Linked DNA regions of Alligator mississippiensis. The protein of the gene in region 1 purifies or fractionates together with the protein of each later gene. This does not show direct contact. Links are inferred from orthologs where the notes say so. Each region holds a gene or a part of one and is shown in the gene's direction. Other genes may lie near its edges.

The links.
Region 2: the proteins of RHOC (region 1) and DAAM1 purify together in Homo sapiens (affinity purification with mass spectrometry; 3 studies listed by BioGRID and IntAct, counting the BioPlex papers as one, with this or other methods). This does not show direct contact. The link is inferred for Alligator mississippiensis from reciprocal best matches to the Homo sapiens genes RHOC and DAAM1.

What each region holds. Positions count from the first base shown.
Region 1 is NC_081837.1:44,752,958-44,759,922, reverse strand, and holds the start of RHOC (rho-related GTP-binding protein RhoC), read left to right. Parts: upstream 1-3,961; 5' UTR 3,962-4,064; intron 4,065-4,223; exon of another isoform or gene 4,224-4,310; intron 4,311-4,392; exon of another isoform or gene 4,393-4,673; intron 4,674-6,965. UniProt on the Homo sapiens protein: Regulates a signal transduction pathway linking plasma membrane receptors to the assembly of focal adhesions and actin stress fibers.
Region 2 is NC_081825.1:295,939,497-295,946,416, forward strand, and holds the start of DAAM1 (disheveled-associated activator of morphogenesis 1), read left to right. Parts: upstream 1-3,895; 5' UTR 3,896-3,993; intron 3,994-6,920. UniProt on the Homo sapiens protein: Binds to disheveled (Dvl) and Rho, and mediates Wnt-induced Dvl-Rho complex formation. May play a role as a scaffolding protein to recruit Rho-GDP and Rho-GEF, thereby enhancing Rho-GTP formation. Can direct nucleation and elongation of new actin filaments.

The sequences.
Region 1 (6,965 bases):
CAGGCAGCAAATGTGAGACCAGAGTCTGCCTTGTTTCAGGTGCATGATGTGTGTGTCACGGCCTTTTGCCACGGTTTAGCTAACGGGTTACAAATCCCTCCGTTTGATGGTTTGGTGCCAGGCTGCACGGAGCAGTGCCCGGCCCGAGGGGCAGGGTGGAGGGACGTGGCCTCACACTCCGAGGTGCTGGGAGGAAAGGCATCGCCAGCTTGCAACATGCCAGTGTGAGATGGGTCCTGTCCCCATTACGCGGGAAGGGAGTGAATCTCATCAGGTCCTGGCTCTCTATGTGCTGGGTCTAACTCTCCACGCGCCCACACCAGGCATTATCATTTGTACCAGTGTATGGGCCATAAGGCTCCAGCCAACCCAGACACATGTGTTTGGCAGCCGCCCTGCCGGGGTGCAGATATCACGCCAAGGACCAGAGAAGGGGAGCTGATGTCTGATCCTTGCACTCACCTGATCCAGCCGGAGCTGCTGCTTGGTCTTTTACAACACTGCAGTGAGCATGTCCCCGAGGCCGGGACCTCAGACGCCTGCATCTGTGAGGTTCCCAGGGCCGTGTTAGTTCAGCCCCGGCGCACACATTATCTGTGTGCAATGCACAGGTGCCTGTGGCAGCCACCAGCAGCCCTGTGACATATGGAGTGGAGGGCCTTGGGAGGCGGTGGGGGAGCAAACCCTGGCTGAGCTTGGGCAGGACGGAGCAGGGGAGGCCCAAACTTGCCCTGGCCCTGCTCCAGGCCTCTTTTTCCCAAAGGTGAGACATGGGAGGCAGAGTCCAAGTGCAAACAGGGCTGGGAGCCGAGGAGTGCAAAGCCGAAAGCCTCAGGAATGGGAGGAGCTGGAGACTCCCCGGGACCCCAGCCAGGGCAAGGAGACTCGAGGCAGGGTGGCTCTCTCCTTTCCCCTCCTCCGGGTGAGCTCAGGCGTGGCCGCTGTCTCCCCCTCCTAGCAGCTTCCTGACCCCGCAGCACTGGAAGGAGCAGGAGCTGGAAATGCCAGGGCCTGTGGAAAACCTCCCTGCTGCCTTCTTCTCCCGGGCCCTTCGGTCGCTGCTTCTTCCCTTGCCTGCTGTCTGGTGCTCTGGCCGTGCCGATGCACCGGACAGGTGCACTTGCACTTCCAATGCCCAGCTTGTCTCACCTGCCAGGGGGCCTGGTGTGGCTTTGCCACTAGTGTCCATGCCAGGAGCACTTTGCTGGTACAGTGCACAGGGACGGGGAAGGGCAGGAGGCTGGGAGCTGTTGCACCCCGCTCCCCACCCCCAGGCTCCGGGGCTGGCTTTTCCTGCCAGTTGAGTCACCAGCGCACAGCCCTGCAGCTGGGACTGCCGGTGTGTGTGTACATGTGTGTGCATACATGTGTGTATGTGTGCATAAAAATGTAACTCTTTGCTTCATCCCTCCTCCAACAAATCCCTGTGCAAAGGGGGAACATGACGCAGCCCCTCCACGCATCGCTGGCACGACTAAGTGGGTCCTTACCCCTGCTTCTACCTGCATGGCTTGTTCACCCACTTGTCACCCACCTTAAAAGCAGCAGTGAACTGTTTGGGGGACAGAGACTGCTTCTGACTTGGGGACGCGGCCCCCAGTGCAGCAAGGCACAGGTCTGGACCGGGGTTTCCATTGCTACTGCTGCAGGTGACCCAATGTGAGACCAGGGCAAGCCTGTGAGTTTTTAAGACCCAGGTGGACAAAGCCTTGTCTGGGATGATGTTGCTGGGGCTGCTCCTGGTTTGAGCAGGGGGTTGGACTAGATGTGATCTCCTGAGGTCCCTTCCAGCCCTCATTTTGCTCTGTTAGAAACATTCAGACGAGGGGCAAGGCACATGCATGGGGGCACAAAGGACCAGGCAGTGGGGAGCGAGCCCCGTGGGGCACTGTGCAGGCTGAGGTGGCAGAGGAAAGGTTGCCTTGCTGGTAGGACAGGGGCTGGGTTAGCTCTGGAGGGTGCAAATGAGCAGAAAGGGCCTGAGCAAAGCTGAGCCCAGCCCAGGACGTGCTGCTTGGCGGCGTGACAGGACCTCTGTTTTCCTCGGTCCCTTTGTCTGCCTCGGCCTCGAGCAACAGAGAGGCCCTGTCCTGCAGAGCGGCGCGTGAGAACGAGGGGCCCTGATCTCAGACGGGGCCTCTTGGCGCGGCCGTCAGCAATGACAGCAGCTCCCGGGGCCCTGTGACAGACAGTTCTGGTCGCGAGGATGAGATCGGTGATGGCCTGTGCGGGGGGAGAGCTGAGGCTCACTCGGGGTTGGTGCAACAGCCTTGGGCTGCCAGAGCGGGTTCACGCTGGGGGAGCCTGGCGATTTCTTGTGTCTGGCTGTCCCTTTCTGTCCGTGGTAAGAACAAAAGCAGGTGAACGTTTCCTGCGAGACATCAGAAAAAGAAACCATGAAGTGCTCTTGGCCTCTTTTTCCCCCTGCTGCTTGTTGCTGGCTCCGTGTGCATAGCCGGACACGTTGGGAAACGCTGACCCAAAGCTAGATGCAACCCTGCAGAGGCATCACGGCAGGCCGAGCCCCCTGCCCCACGGCTGCTCCCAGAAGAGAGCAATGGCCCAGCTAGTCTCCCGCGACTCCATCAGTGACCGGCAATGCCTGCTGCTCCCGAGCAAGCCCACGGCACACGACCGAGGGGCCGTCTCCCAGGTCCCGGCTGGAGCTTGGCTTTCGCCTTGAAGAGCGCTGGTCCTGGTCATGACTGTCCGAGCGAGCGGGCACAGTTGCTGTTCTGATTCCATGACAGTAAATGTCTAATCCTTAATTCCTCCTCTCCCCTGAGGCAAAGGCCTAGCTGCGAGACGAAGCCCGTGCTGTATCCTCGGGGTGGAGTTCACAGCCCCTCCTGCTCCCCCTGCCGCTGGTGACTCAGTGCAGCACAAAACTGTCCCTAAAAATCAAATAAATTGGATTGCATCAGGCTTTCCAGGCTTCTTGGGGCAGCAGCTGGCCATAAAGGCAGGAAATGCTGCAGCCAGCAGAGCATGACACGGTCGGCATCTGGTTCCTGCCTCAGGGGCTGATATTTATGTGCATAAATGACATACACATTTATATGTGTATAAATGACACCAGGAATCACAACTCATGGCAGAGGTGATACCTTTTATTAGACCAACTAGATATTTGCAAAAAAAAAAAATAAAAATCCAGCTTTGTTTGGTTTGGGGCACAGGCCCCCTTCTTCAGGCGGAGGAGAGTACAAAGCTGTGCAAAGATGTGTACTCTCCTCTGCCAGAAGAAGGGGGCCTGTGCCCGAAAGCTTGCAAATAAAGACATGTTTTTGCAAACATCTAGTTGCTCTAATGAAAGACATCACCTCTGCCACGAGTTCCTATTCCTTTTGCCTCTAGACCAATACGGCTACAACCTGGATACCCTATAAACGACGTACACTTGTATAGGTGTAGCCACCTGCCTTGCTCAGCGGAAGGACCCCTCGCTCTCCCCTGTGGTTAAGGATGGCTTGGGGTATACTTTCCCCCCGACCCCTTGAATGAGGCACGAGTGCTTTTCTCATGGAGGAATACAGGCCAGGGAGGTGTCCTCTGGGTTTCTCTCTCCTTAAACCCTTCTCTCTTGGACTGATGAGCTCTGGGCAGCACTAAACACAGCCCAACACAGCATTTTTTCTTTTTCTGGTTTTTTTTAAAGGAAAGCTTGTCATGTCCCAAGCCAAATCAGCCAAATCGATTCCAAATCGGCGAATCGGTCCAGAACCATAAGTGGCCCTGCTGCTACTGGCTTCAGATGTTTCCAAACCATTTGGCGGGCATCCTACATGCAGGCCCGAGCCCGGGGGCTTGGGGTTCAGATGCCCCCGGCTTTGACTTGCCCTCAGCCCTAGGGTGGGCGGCAGGAGCAAGCTAGGGAGGAGCCTCCCCTTTCCACCAAGTGGGCGCAAAGCCAAGCTCTTCCCCCTGGAAATGGAAGTGGGAGGTTGCAAGAGCATGTCCAGTGCGCTCGCTCCCGGGCGTGCATTCGCTGCGGGGTGCGACCTGGACACCTGCCTTAGCAGTCCCGGGTCCCCCTGCCAGGGCGAGAGCCGTCGGAGGGCCAGGTGGGCACCACCACGGGCACGGGCTAGCGCCTGTCCCGCCCCGGGCTGCAGCTCGCGCTCCCTGCGCCAGCCCCGAGCCGGCCGGCGGCGGCGGCGGGGCGCGGGGCAGCCCCTGCCCTGCCTGCCCGGGGCAGCGCAGCGCGGCCGGGTGGGCGGTGCGCGGCGCTGTCAGTCCCGCCGGCCCCTCCCGGCCGCCCAGCCCTTGTCGCCGCGGAGCGCAGCGCAGCGCAGCGCAGCGGAGCGCAGGTACCGGGGCGCGGGCGCGGGGCAGCCCCCGGGACCCCAGCCCAGCCCCCGGGTCCTGCACCCCCACCCTGCAGCGCTCCCTTCTCCCAGGGTCCAGCTGCCCGCTTGCACCGCCTCCACTTCCACGCTGGCCGTGCCAAGTGTCCTCCCTTGGCCGTGCCGAGCGCCGAACAGCCTCAATTTGTGCTCAGCTTCCTTTTTTGGCCGGGACGGACAGCCCTGCACGCTCCCGGGCCTTGGGTGGGGGCTGCAAACCTTGGCTTCAAGAGTTGTTCCTGCTGGCAAACCCTGCGCCATCCCTGCTGCCCGCTGGGTATCGGGCGGGCGAGCAAAGCTCTGCCAGCTCCTGCTTGCGCCGGACAGGTGGGTTTTCCTGAAGCAGAAGGACGCACCCGGATGGGCCGCCGGACTGAGATCAGCTGAGGTTTGGGACAGGGGCGCCTAGCCAGAGGGAGGTGAAGTGTCTTCTTTCCTAAGCAAGCGATTGTGAGAAGGGGCTGCCTTCAGCTATTTATTTCTAACGTGGCCCTGACGGCTCTGTGAGCGGCGCGACCTGCTCCTTGGGGCGCGAGTGCGATGGGGACTCGGGAGCCTGCCCTCGGCACAGGCTGGTGGGGAAGACGGTGGCTCAGGTCTCGAGCTGTAAGGTGGGGGGACGGGAATGTTTCGCTAGTCTCTTTGAGCAGCTCCCCTTTGGGAACGGATGCGGATGACAGCCGAGCGGGGTCCCGTGGGATTTGGGGCCTGCGCTCCGTTATCTGGAGCGGATGCGTAGCAGTGGGTGAACTTCCCCCAGCAGAGCTGCAGCCACCCACGTTCAGAGGGGATTTGCAGCAAAGCTTCCTCGGGAAGCACTGGCCTTGCAGCCTTTCTTGGAGCAGGGAGTAATCCTCACATCCTGCCCAGCAGACCTCCCCCACTCTGGCATAAACCAGTCCTGCCGCCAGCCTCTGCCTTGCTGCTGTAGCCAGCACCCTGGGGTGCACGGAGGGGCAAGATTGCCTCTAGCGTCAAGTTGGGTCCTGCTTGGTGGGTGACTGATTGTCTTTTTGACATAACACTGGCCTTGCCCACCTGTGTAGCCAGGATTTTGGTCACTGGACATGCTCTTGCAATGTGGTAGGCGGAAGAGTCCGTGGCATTGCTGCCCGTGGGTAAAGGCACGTGGGACAATTCCTCCGGGAATGACATGCGAATGTAATGTGAGCTGCAGAGGGTCAGAAATGGGGGCAGGCTGCCCTGCTCTCCAGCCAGGTGCGCGGAAAGAGTGCTGCTTGTTATTTGCCCCATACGCTGCATGCTCTGCAAGGTTTTCAACCTGGGTCCTGCTCAAATCAAATCCTTAAAGCCGTCCGACTGGTTTGGCAGCCGGGGAAGAAAACTTTTGCTTCTCCTCCTCAGCATCGTGTCATATAAAGGAGCAAAGTTCAGTTGGCAGCCGCAGCTCTGAAACCAGAAGCATGAGCTCAGCAGTGAGGAAAGGATGTTTAACGCTCACGTGAGCTCTCGTTGCCTCTTGCCAAGAGACTAATCAGTCCTGAGTGGAGAGAGGCTTCCTGCATGGCCTACCCTGGGGGACCTTTTCCTGTCCTCCAGAGATAGTCTTCACATTGTTTTTTAAGGGACATTTGGATTAAAATGGCAAGAGGGTTCCTTGCTTGTGTTAGTTTTGGGGGCATAAGCGGGCATAAGTGATCCAAGCACTTTTAGAACAGAAAGTGTCTTTAAAATGCCAAGGCAGACCAGGTTCTTTGGGTAGATGTGATATCTTTTATTAAACCAACTAAACAGTTGGAAAAATTGTTCTTTGCAAGCTTTCAGGCACAGACACCCTTTAAAATCTCAGGTTCCTCTGCTTGCTTTCTGCATTTCCCAGGACTCTGCCACGGGGGTGAACTATTAGCTCATTTCACTTTTGTCCTCGGTCAGGCCCCGAGCTGTTCCGCTTGCTGGATTGCACGCCCCGGCACTCCTGAACTGCAAGGGAAATGTCTAAATCCTGAAACTGAAAGTAACAAGATGTTTTCTGTTGCATTAGAGCCTCGCGTTTTGAGCGGCAATGCCCTTGGCGGTGAGCGCACGGCGATGGCTCCTCACGAGGGAGCCCGATGTGTCCTGCTGCAGCCCGTGTCTGACCACGAGTGAATCAGCCACCTGTTCCAGCCGGCTCTTGCCAAAGATGTAGTACCCCACGTCCTTAAAACTGTCTGTGTTTGTCTTGCTGGGGGGAGGAGAGGGAAGGGCGTAGAGAAACTCACAGGCCCTGAAGAAAGGGAAGGGGCCTGGCTGCGATGAGCTCAAGAAGCACAAAGGAGCGCCTGTGGGGACGGTGGGGAGCGCACTTCAGGCTTCTGTGGGAACTGGATTGTTCTCTTTGCATTAATTGTGAACAACAATTATTCGCTGGAGCATGGGTTGTCAGCCAGGGCCCTTTGTGCATGATGTAAATATACAGCGGGTCCCGCGCGCAGGATGCTGCGTGTCCATGAAATCACTCTCTCGCTTTGCCAAACCCCGTGTCACCGATCAGATGTGCAAACATTGAGACCAGCCCGGCAAAACTTGAGTCGCTGCTTTCCCCGAAACACGCGGCTGGTTTCTCTTGGAGTCGGTCTGGGACGTTTCCAGCTGATTGGGGGTCACTTCTGGTTGCCG
Region 2 (6,920 bases), on another chromosome or scaffold:
AGGTCTAAGAGCAGGTCTAAACCATATGAGAGGACTGCATCATACAGTCCTATATTGCGTTCTTTTAAATGCAAACTTGAATTTCATTTCAGCGGCACAGAAAAGCGATGCCCAAAGGATAATAAAATTATTGATCAGACATGTGTCTAGCTCCGAGAACATTTCTAGGCTTTAGTGAGTACCTAACATCTAACTCTGAGATGGGCTTAATACACTGTTCCAAATATAAAACCAGAAGCTATTTTCTCCAGCAGAGAGAAAGTGATTTGATCTAGTTATGCAAAAAAATCAATAAACAGTATCAAATAACAAGTGCCGTAAAGCACCGTGGATTATTCCCCAGGTAGTGTGTGTGAACAGAAATGCTCATTCTCATAATGGAAGACTAGGGAGATGTGGCAGAGATGTGGTAGCCACTGCATCATAATCTGTAATACATAATGATCTGTAATACTTTTGTGCCTGCTATTTTGAGACCGTGCCTATCTGGCTATACTGGGTTATTAAATACATGGCCCTGTATGGCTGTATTAATTTAATAATGGGGGCGGGGGTGTGTGTGAGAAATAATGAAGAGCAAAGGAACACAGTAGCCCTAAATAGCCCTAAATACCATAACCAGCCTCTCAACAAACTCTTGAGAGGCAATTACAAGAGAACAGCCCAGCCCTTATTAACTAGGGAGATGCTACTGCCAGGCCTCAGTCAAGTCACACAGCTAGTTGGGCAAGTTTGGGAGCTTAGAGAGTTATTAAACAGTTAAGGTGACTCCCTGGAGAGAGCAAGTGGGAAAGGGAGCTGTCACTGAGCTGTTCGTGGGAGAAACAGACTGACATGGACAGACAGGCAAGCCCTGCAGGAGTGTCTCAAGCAGCTGGTGTCTTCCCAAGTCTTCTGGGAAATGGTAAGCCTTGGGTAAGATAGATAGGCATGCGTATAAACGGTTCATTCTTCTGATCTTGGTGCCTCTGGCTGCTGCTCCCAAGAAAAAGGACTGTAAGTTTTGTACCAAAGGCAGGCCTGCTAGGGTCATTAAAGCTGCTCTTTCTGTATTACACCATGTTGTGTATATACCCCTTGCGCTAACTCTCACAAGGAAGTTCCTCCCTTCTTTTTTACTGCCCCATCACTAGCGCTCCTTACATCTCTTGGTTATGTACCTGCCCACATATGAAATATAATCCCTCTTCTGGGCGCGTCTCCTCTTCTGGCTCATTGTACTTCTTCTGACTAACATGACTAAGGAAGGTAACGCAAGAGTTGAGAAGCTTGATTCCCACACCAAAAGTGTGTTTGCCGTGTTTGCATACCATTGATTTGAGCTTGAATTTGATCTGCTCCAAAATGTACCATTATTTCTCCCGTGTGACCTGAGAGGCACTCTACAGGCACCTCTTGCCCAAAAAAGGTTATTTCAGCCCAAATGGAGCGTCGGCCATAGTCCAATGTTTCAGGACCGCAGGCTGACTTGGAGTAGAAACTTCTGAAAGTGATTTATAAAACATAAGATCACATCCAGAGAACATTGGTGGTTGGGACAATCTTGTTGGACCGTGCTAAAAGCACCTTGGATATTGATCTGGCTTGTATATGACCCTCCTTTTTATTTGCACATCCCACATGATGATTGGAAAAAGGAATTTCAAATTCAGGTTGTCAAGTTGCTTTTATCTTGATGTTTGGGGCTTTTTCCTTCATATCATTTGGAAAAAGCTCCCTGGGAAGATTCACTATGTGACTCTGACTTCAGATCCTTCTTAAGACAAATGTCTGCAAAGCACTATCTGCTGGCATTGGCTAGCAAGGTGGTGACCTGAGGAGGTCTTGTGAGGTCTAATAACTGGCTCATTCTACCTTAACCTCATCCTTTCCTTCCTGGGTTTTTTCCCATGCATTTGCTGCATCTAGTCCTAACCAAAGTCCTGATCTTGTAAACACTTGTGCACTTGGCCATGTTTATGCATGATTACAGCCCCGTTGGAATCCAGCGGCCTCTTCACATATAAAGTCAGGGATGTTTGTAAGCATTGGCAGTATCATAGCCTTAGCTTGTGATCTCTCTGGACTGGAGTCTGCCTGGATTCAGCCAGTTGATCTCTAATGTGCCCTGCCTTCTGCCTAACCAATGAGTAATGAATCTACCCTGTAGATTTGTGCTGGTTGGTTTGTTGTATGTTGGCTGGTGGCTACCTGCTGGTTAACTCTCCCCTGTATCTGCTTGTGTACTTGCTGATATTACTTGTGTATGAGTAGAATATTAGTAAAGCTTCTCATTTATTTTTTTAACTGGAGAAAAACATGTGTTGTTTCATACGGGATAATGCACCTCACCATCTGCAACCCGCCTTTGCAAAATTCTAGATGGAGACATGCACAGCAAAATATAAAATAGTCTTTAAAAGGGGGTGCTACTTGGTTCATCAAAGCTGCACAGGGGGTGCCTCAAGTCTAATGAGGGGTTCATCGAGTCTTACATGGTCAAGAGCCAGCGGTCCAGGAATCCTGCAGTCCAGAGCTCAGCTAGCTCTCTCCCAGCTGCGCCATGGGCGGAGCAGGCATCAAAGTGGGTGCAAGTGCCCCAGTGCAACCCCCCTGCTACCATGCTTTTTCACACCATGTATCATTAAAGTGTGGAACTGGTGGCGACAGCTTCAAAAAGGGATTGGACAGTGTGGAGGAAAGGAGCATTTGTGGCTATCAAGCCTGGGCATGAGGGGCACAGCCTCTGAGTCACAGCTTCTAGCCCTGAAATGCTGGCAGCTGCCTGGGGGAGAGGAACAGGGGTGGAAACCCTGCTCAGACCCCGCTCACTCTCCCTTCCAGCCTCGGCTCGCTGCCCCGGGGTGACACGGCACTGGGCAGGACGCAGCGGTGGTCTGAGGCAGTCAGTGGCAGCTCTTGTGCACGTCCTCAGGAAAGACTGCTCTGGTGGCATGGGATAGTACCCGTGTAGGTAATGCATAGTTAACCTTGGCTTTATGCCCACTTTATGGAAAGGGGAGACTCCTCCTGGGGCCTTACGGCTGAGGGCAAGCAAAACTCAGGGGCATCCGAACCCCAGAGCCTCCGGGCTTGGGCCTGCAAGTAGGATGCCCGCCAAAGGATTTGGAAACATCTGAAGCCCCAGGGGGGTGGAGGATGTTTGCCAGTAGTAGGGCCGCTTACGGCTCTGGGCTGGCTCACGGATTTGGAATTGACTTGGCCAATCTGGCTTGCAACACCGAAACATTAAAAAAAAATAATAATAATCTCCTCACAGAGGAGACAGGACAAGCCTGAGGCTGCAATGATCCTTTTATATATAAAATATATATATATATGTATGTACTGTATATATATTTGTGTGTGTATATATATGTATAGATATAGATGTGTGTGTGGGTGTATAAACCTGTCTATATATATATATATATATATATATATATGTATATATGTGTGTGTGTGTGTATATATATATGTGTGGGTATATAAACATGTCTATATGTGTATGTATATGTATATATGAATGTATGTTGAGACATGGTTTCCTGTATATAGAGATCATTGCAGACTCAGGGTTGTCCGTGTCGTATGTGTGTATAAAGTGTGTGTGTGTGTGTGTGCGTGTGTGTGTGTGTAATTGCTCGTGTGTGTACCCCGCCCCCTGGCGCTACACCCCCTCTCCCACCCCTCCGGGGCCGCCAGGTGCAGCTGGTCGCAGCCGTCTCTGCCCCGCCTCAGGGGCGGGCGGGAAATGTAGTCCGCGCCTCCAGGGCGGTGGCGGGCAGCGGCGCCGCCTCCGAACTACCACTCCCAGCAGGCCGCGCGCCGCCGGCTCCGGTGTGGGGGGGGGTGCGGAGGAGCTGCGCCTGCGCATTGCGTTGCACATTGTACCCTATCAGGCGGGGCGGGGATGATGTCACCTGCGGGCTGGGCAGGGGCGCGCGGAGCCGGCTCCCATTGTGGGCAGGGCGCCGCGGCGGGCGGGCGGCTCGCGATGTCCGCGCGCTGCAGGTAAGGCACGGCACGGCACGGCACGGCACGGGGTAGCGTGCACGGTGCGTCGCAATACAAACCCCAGGGGAGCGGGGGTTTTGGTGCAGCCCGAGCCCTTGCTCCCCGCGCCTCCTCCCGGCTCCCTTTCCTGCAGCCGCGAGCCGCTAACAAAGCCGTGCGAGCGGGTTCGGGCCGGGCCGGGCGAGGCGAGGTGAGGGCAGGTGGGCGCGGGGGGCTGCATCCCTGCACCGCGGCGAAGGGATGGAGGGGCCGGTTGCTATGGCTACCCCTGCCAGGCTAACCTCCCCAGGGTCCCTGCTCCCCATCCCTGCCCGTGCCCCGGGGTGGCACTGGGTCTGCGCCCCTGCTCGACCACTGCAGTCTGCAGGGAGACCCCTCCCCACCCCCCCCAATTGGGAGCTCAGGGCTCCAGCCTTGGGGGACAGGCAGCGTCCCCACCTTGCATGACAGGGGACGGCCAGCCCAGAAAGGAGCGGGAGAGAAGACGGGAGACGGAGGCATTGCCTGCTGGCAGCTGTCGGGGTTCACCTGCTTCCCCGCCCGTTGCCCGCTCTCCATTGGGGGGCGGCAAGGAGGTCGCTGCATCTGCCGGTGCCCCTGAAGGCATCTGAGCAGACGTGCGAGCTCTCCCGCGCCGTGTTTCCCTGCTGCCACGACGCAAGAGCAGCCTCCGCGGGGCCCAGGGGTCCGGGACTTCGCTCTGCTGGGGTCTGCCCTGCGTTCGGGACAGGCTGCGAGGTGCGTGCCCGGCACCCTGCAGAGCCTCCGTGAAGATCAAGTCCCTGCTCTGAGGACTTGACCGTCTTAATTCAGCACCGCAGTAGCAGGGGTGGGGATTATCGTACGGATTATGTTGTGATAAATGTGCACCGGTGTCGGAGGGAGAACCGGCGTGTGTCTGTGGTTTTAGGCTCCGGACCAGGACTCTAGAGACTATGATGCTGCCACAGATTTGCAGTCTGAACGGGGCTACTTGCGTCGGCAAACGTTGCTAGTCTTGGGTGATCCAACTTCTTGGCGATGACTGCGATGCTGGCACCTGCTGTTTGATTTTGGAGGGGCGAGGGGCGCGTGTGTGAGTGTCTGTAAGAAGCAAGAGCTCAGCAGCTCTGAAAGATCGGATACTGGGGTGAAAGCCTGATCTGGGCAAGACGTAGTTGCAGTGAGGTCGGCGTTTCCTCCTTGGAGTCTGAAGGTGAACATTTAAAACTAAAATAGCTGTTCGGGTTGGTGTTAGCCAGGCAGGGCTGTGCTTACATGATTGGGGATGTGGGATGCTGCTGGGATACTTAGGAGCTGAAGTTCCCCTCTTGGTTTTGTTTTGTTTTTTTTCCTGTTGCAAGAAGTTAAAGGAAAAGAAGAAATGTCTTGTCTCCTCAAGTTGGAGACGTTTCCTCTTCCTAGAAAACAGAGGTCTCTGGAGGATGTTAATATTGCTAGACGATGCATTGGTATTCCAGGTCTTGGTTCCCCACTGGGGACTAGATATCCGACAGGAGGTTTGTAGGTGTTGGGGCTGGTACCCTGGATGAGCATGGTAAGCCCTGAGTGCTTCAGATAATCAGTGCAGAATTTGGACATCCAGTGCACTTCAGAAAAGTGCAACCTCTTGATTACTTCCTCAGACCCTTGTCTCCAAAACAGTTAATGTGAGCTACCGAGAGGCCTTAGCTGTCCTGTTCTGCGAGTTTCTCCCGCAGAGCTTGTTCTTGATGATGCCTGATACAGTTCTTGGATGGCTGCGGGTTACCGCTCTTTGTGAGCCAGAACAGTCTTGTTCCGCTTTGCGCAAGGGAAGTTTTACAAGTACGGTTTCTTCTTGGCAATGAGTTTCAGCTGAGGGGGTCAAACAAATGCGTCTCCCTGCAAGCACTAACTTCATCACTTCCATGAGGATTACATTAGTCCCACCGTGTCAAAATCTGTTACCTGAGAAGGATCTATTGCTCCTGAAGCCTACAGACTAAACTACCTCTGGTTTCTTTTAAGCCAGTCATCTGCCTCCCATGTTACTGTCTCTTGCTAATTGGTTACAGTAGGATAAGAGATCTGTGACTAGCCCTAGAAGGCCAGTGTTTTGCATATCAGTATTGTCTGCCCTGGGCTGGAATATGAATCTCAAAAGGAAAGTCCATGTTGTCAGTTCATTTTGCTCTTCCAAGGTGCAAATTCAATAGGAGCTGAAGACATACAAAAAAACTAGAACTCTTGGTTCCAAAATGATACTTTTTATTAGACCAACAGGAAAATGGCAAGAAAATTGTCCTTTTCTGCAAGCATTCGGGATAGCTGAAGGCACTTGGCAGTTTGTGGTACTGAGCCCTGCCTGCTCCTTGGCTTATGCATGGGTGAGGAGTCAATCTCTTCCTGATGTTCCTGTCCCAAGTAGATTAGATTTCATCAGCGAACTAGGTGTACACCCAATTTTAGACTCTGGTGTACACCCTGTGCCAGCCCCCGTGAAGTAAACAGGATGGGTGAGGTGTAAACCAGCACTGGCTCTTCCTCTGTGCTTTAGGCTGAGCAATAGTGGTCTTGAACTGAGTCAGCTCCTGCTCCAAACCCTTTTTTTCCCCAATACGGATGAGGGAGAGGGTTGTAGGGGACAGGGAATTGCAGAACATCTTCCTAGCAAAGGACGAGAAGGGCCCGGGGACAGCAAGTCTAGCTGGGCTCTGTTTATCTCCCTGCCTTTTGAACTGTTATTGTTTCCATGCACTTCACAGCCGAGTGATTTCTCCTCCTGGAAACCCGCACAGGAGGTGCAAAGAGATTCAATCCTCAGCCGCTTGCCAGTGTTGTTTACCTGCTGCTCAGGAGCATAACCCCTGCCGTCTGGGTTCCTGTCGAGGGCCAGCGCTTCCTCCCCTCGCCTGCTATTTACATGCTCTGTCCATCAGCTCCGAGCTGTTGAAACCCAGCAT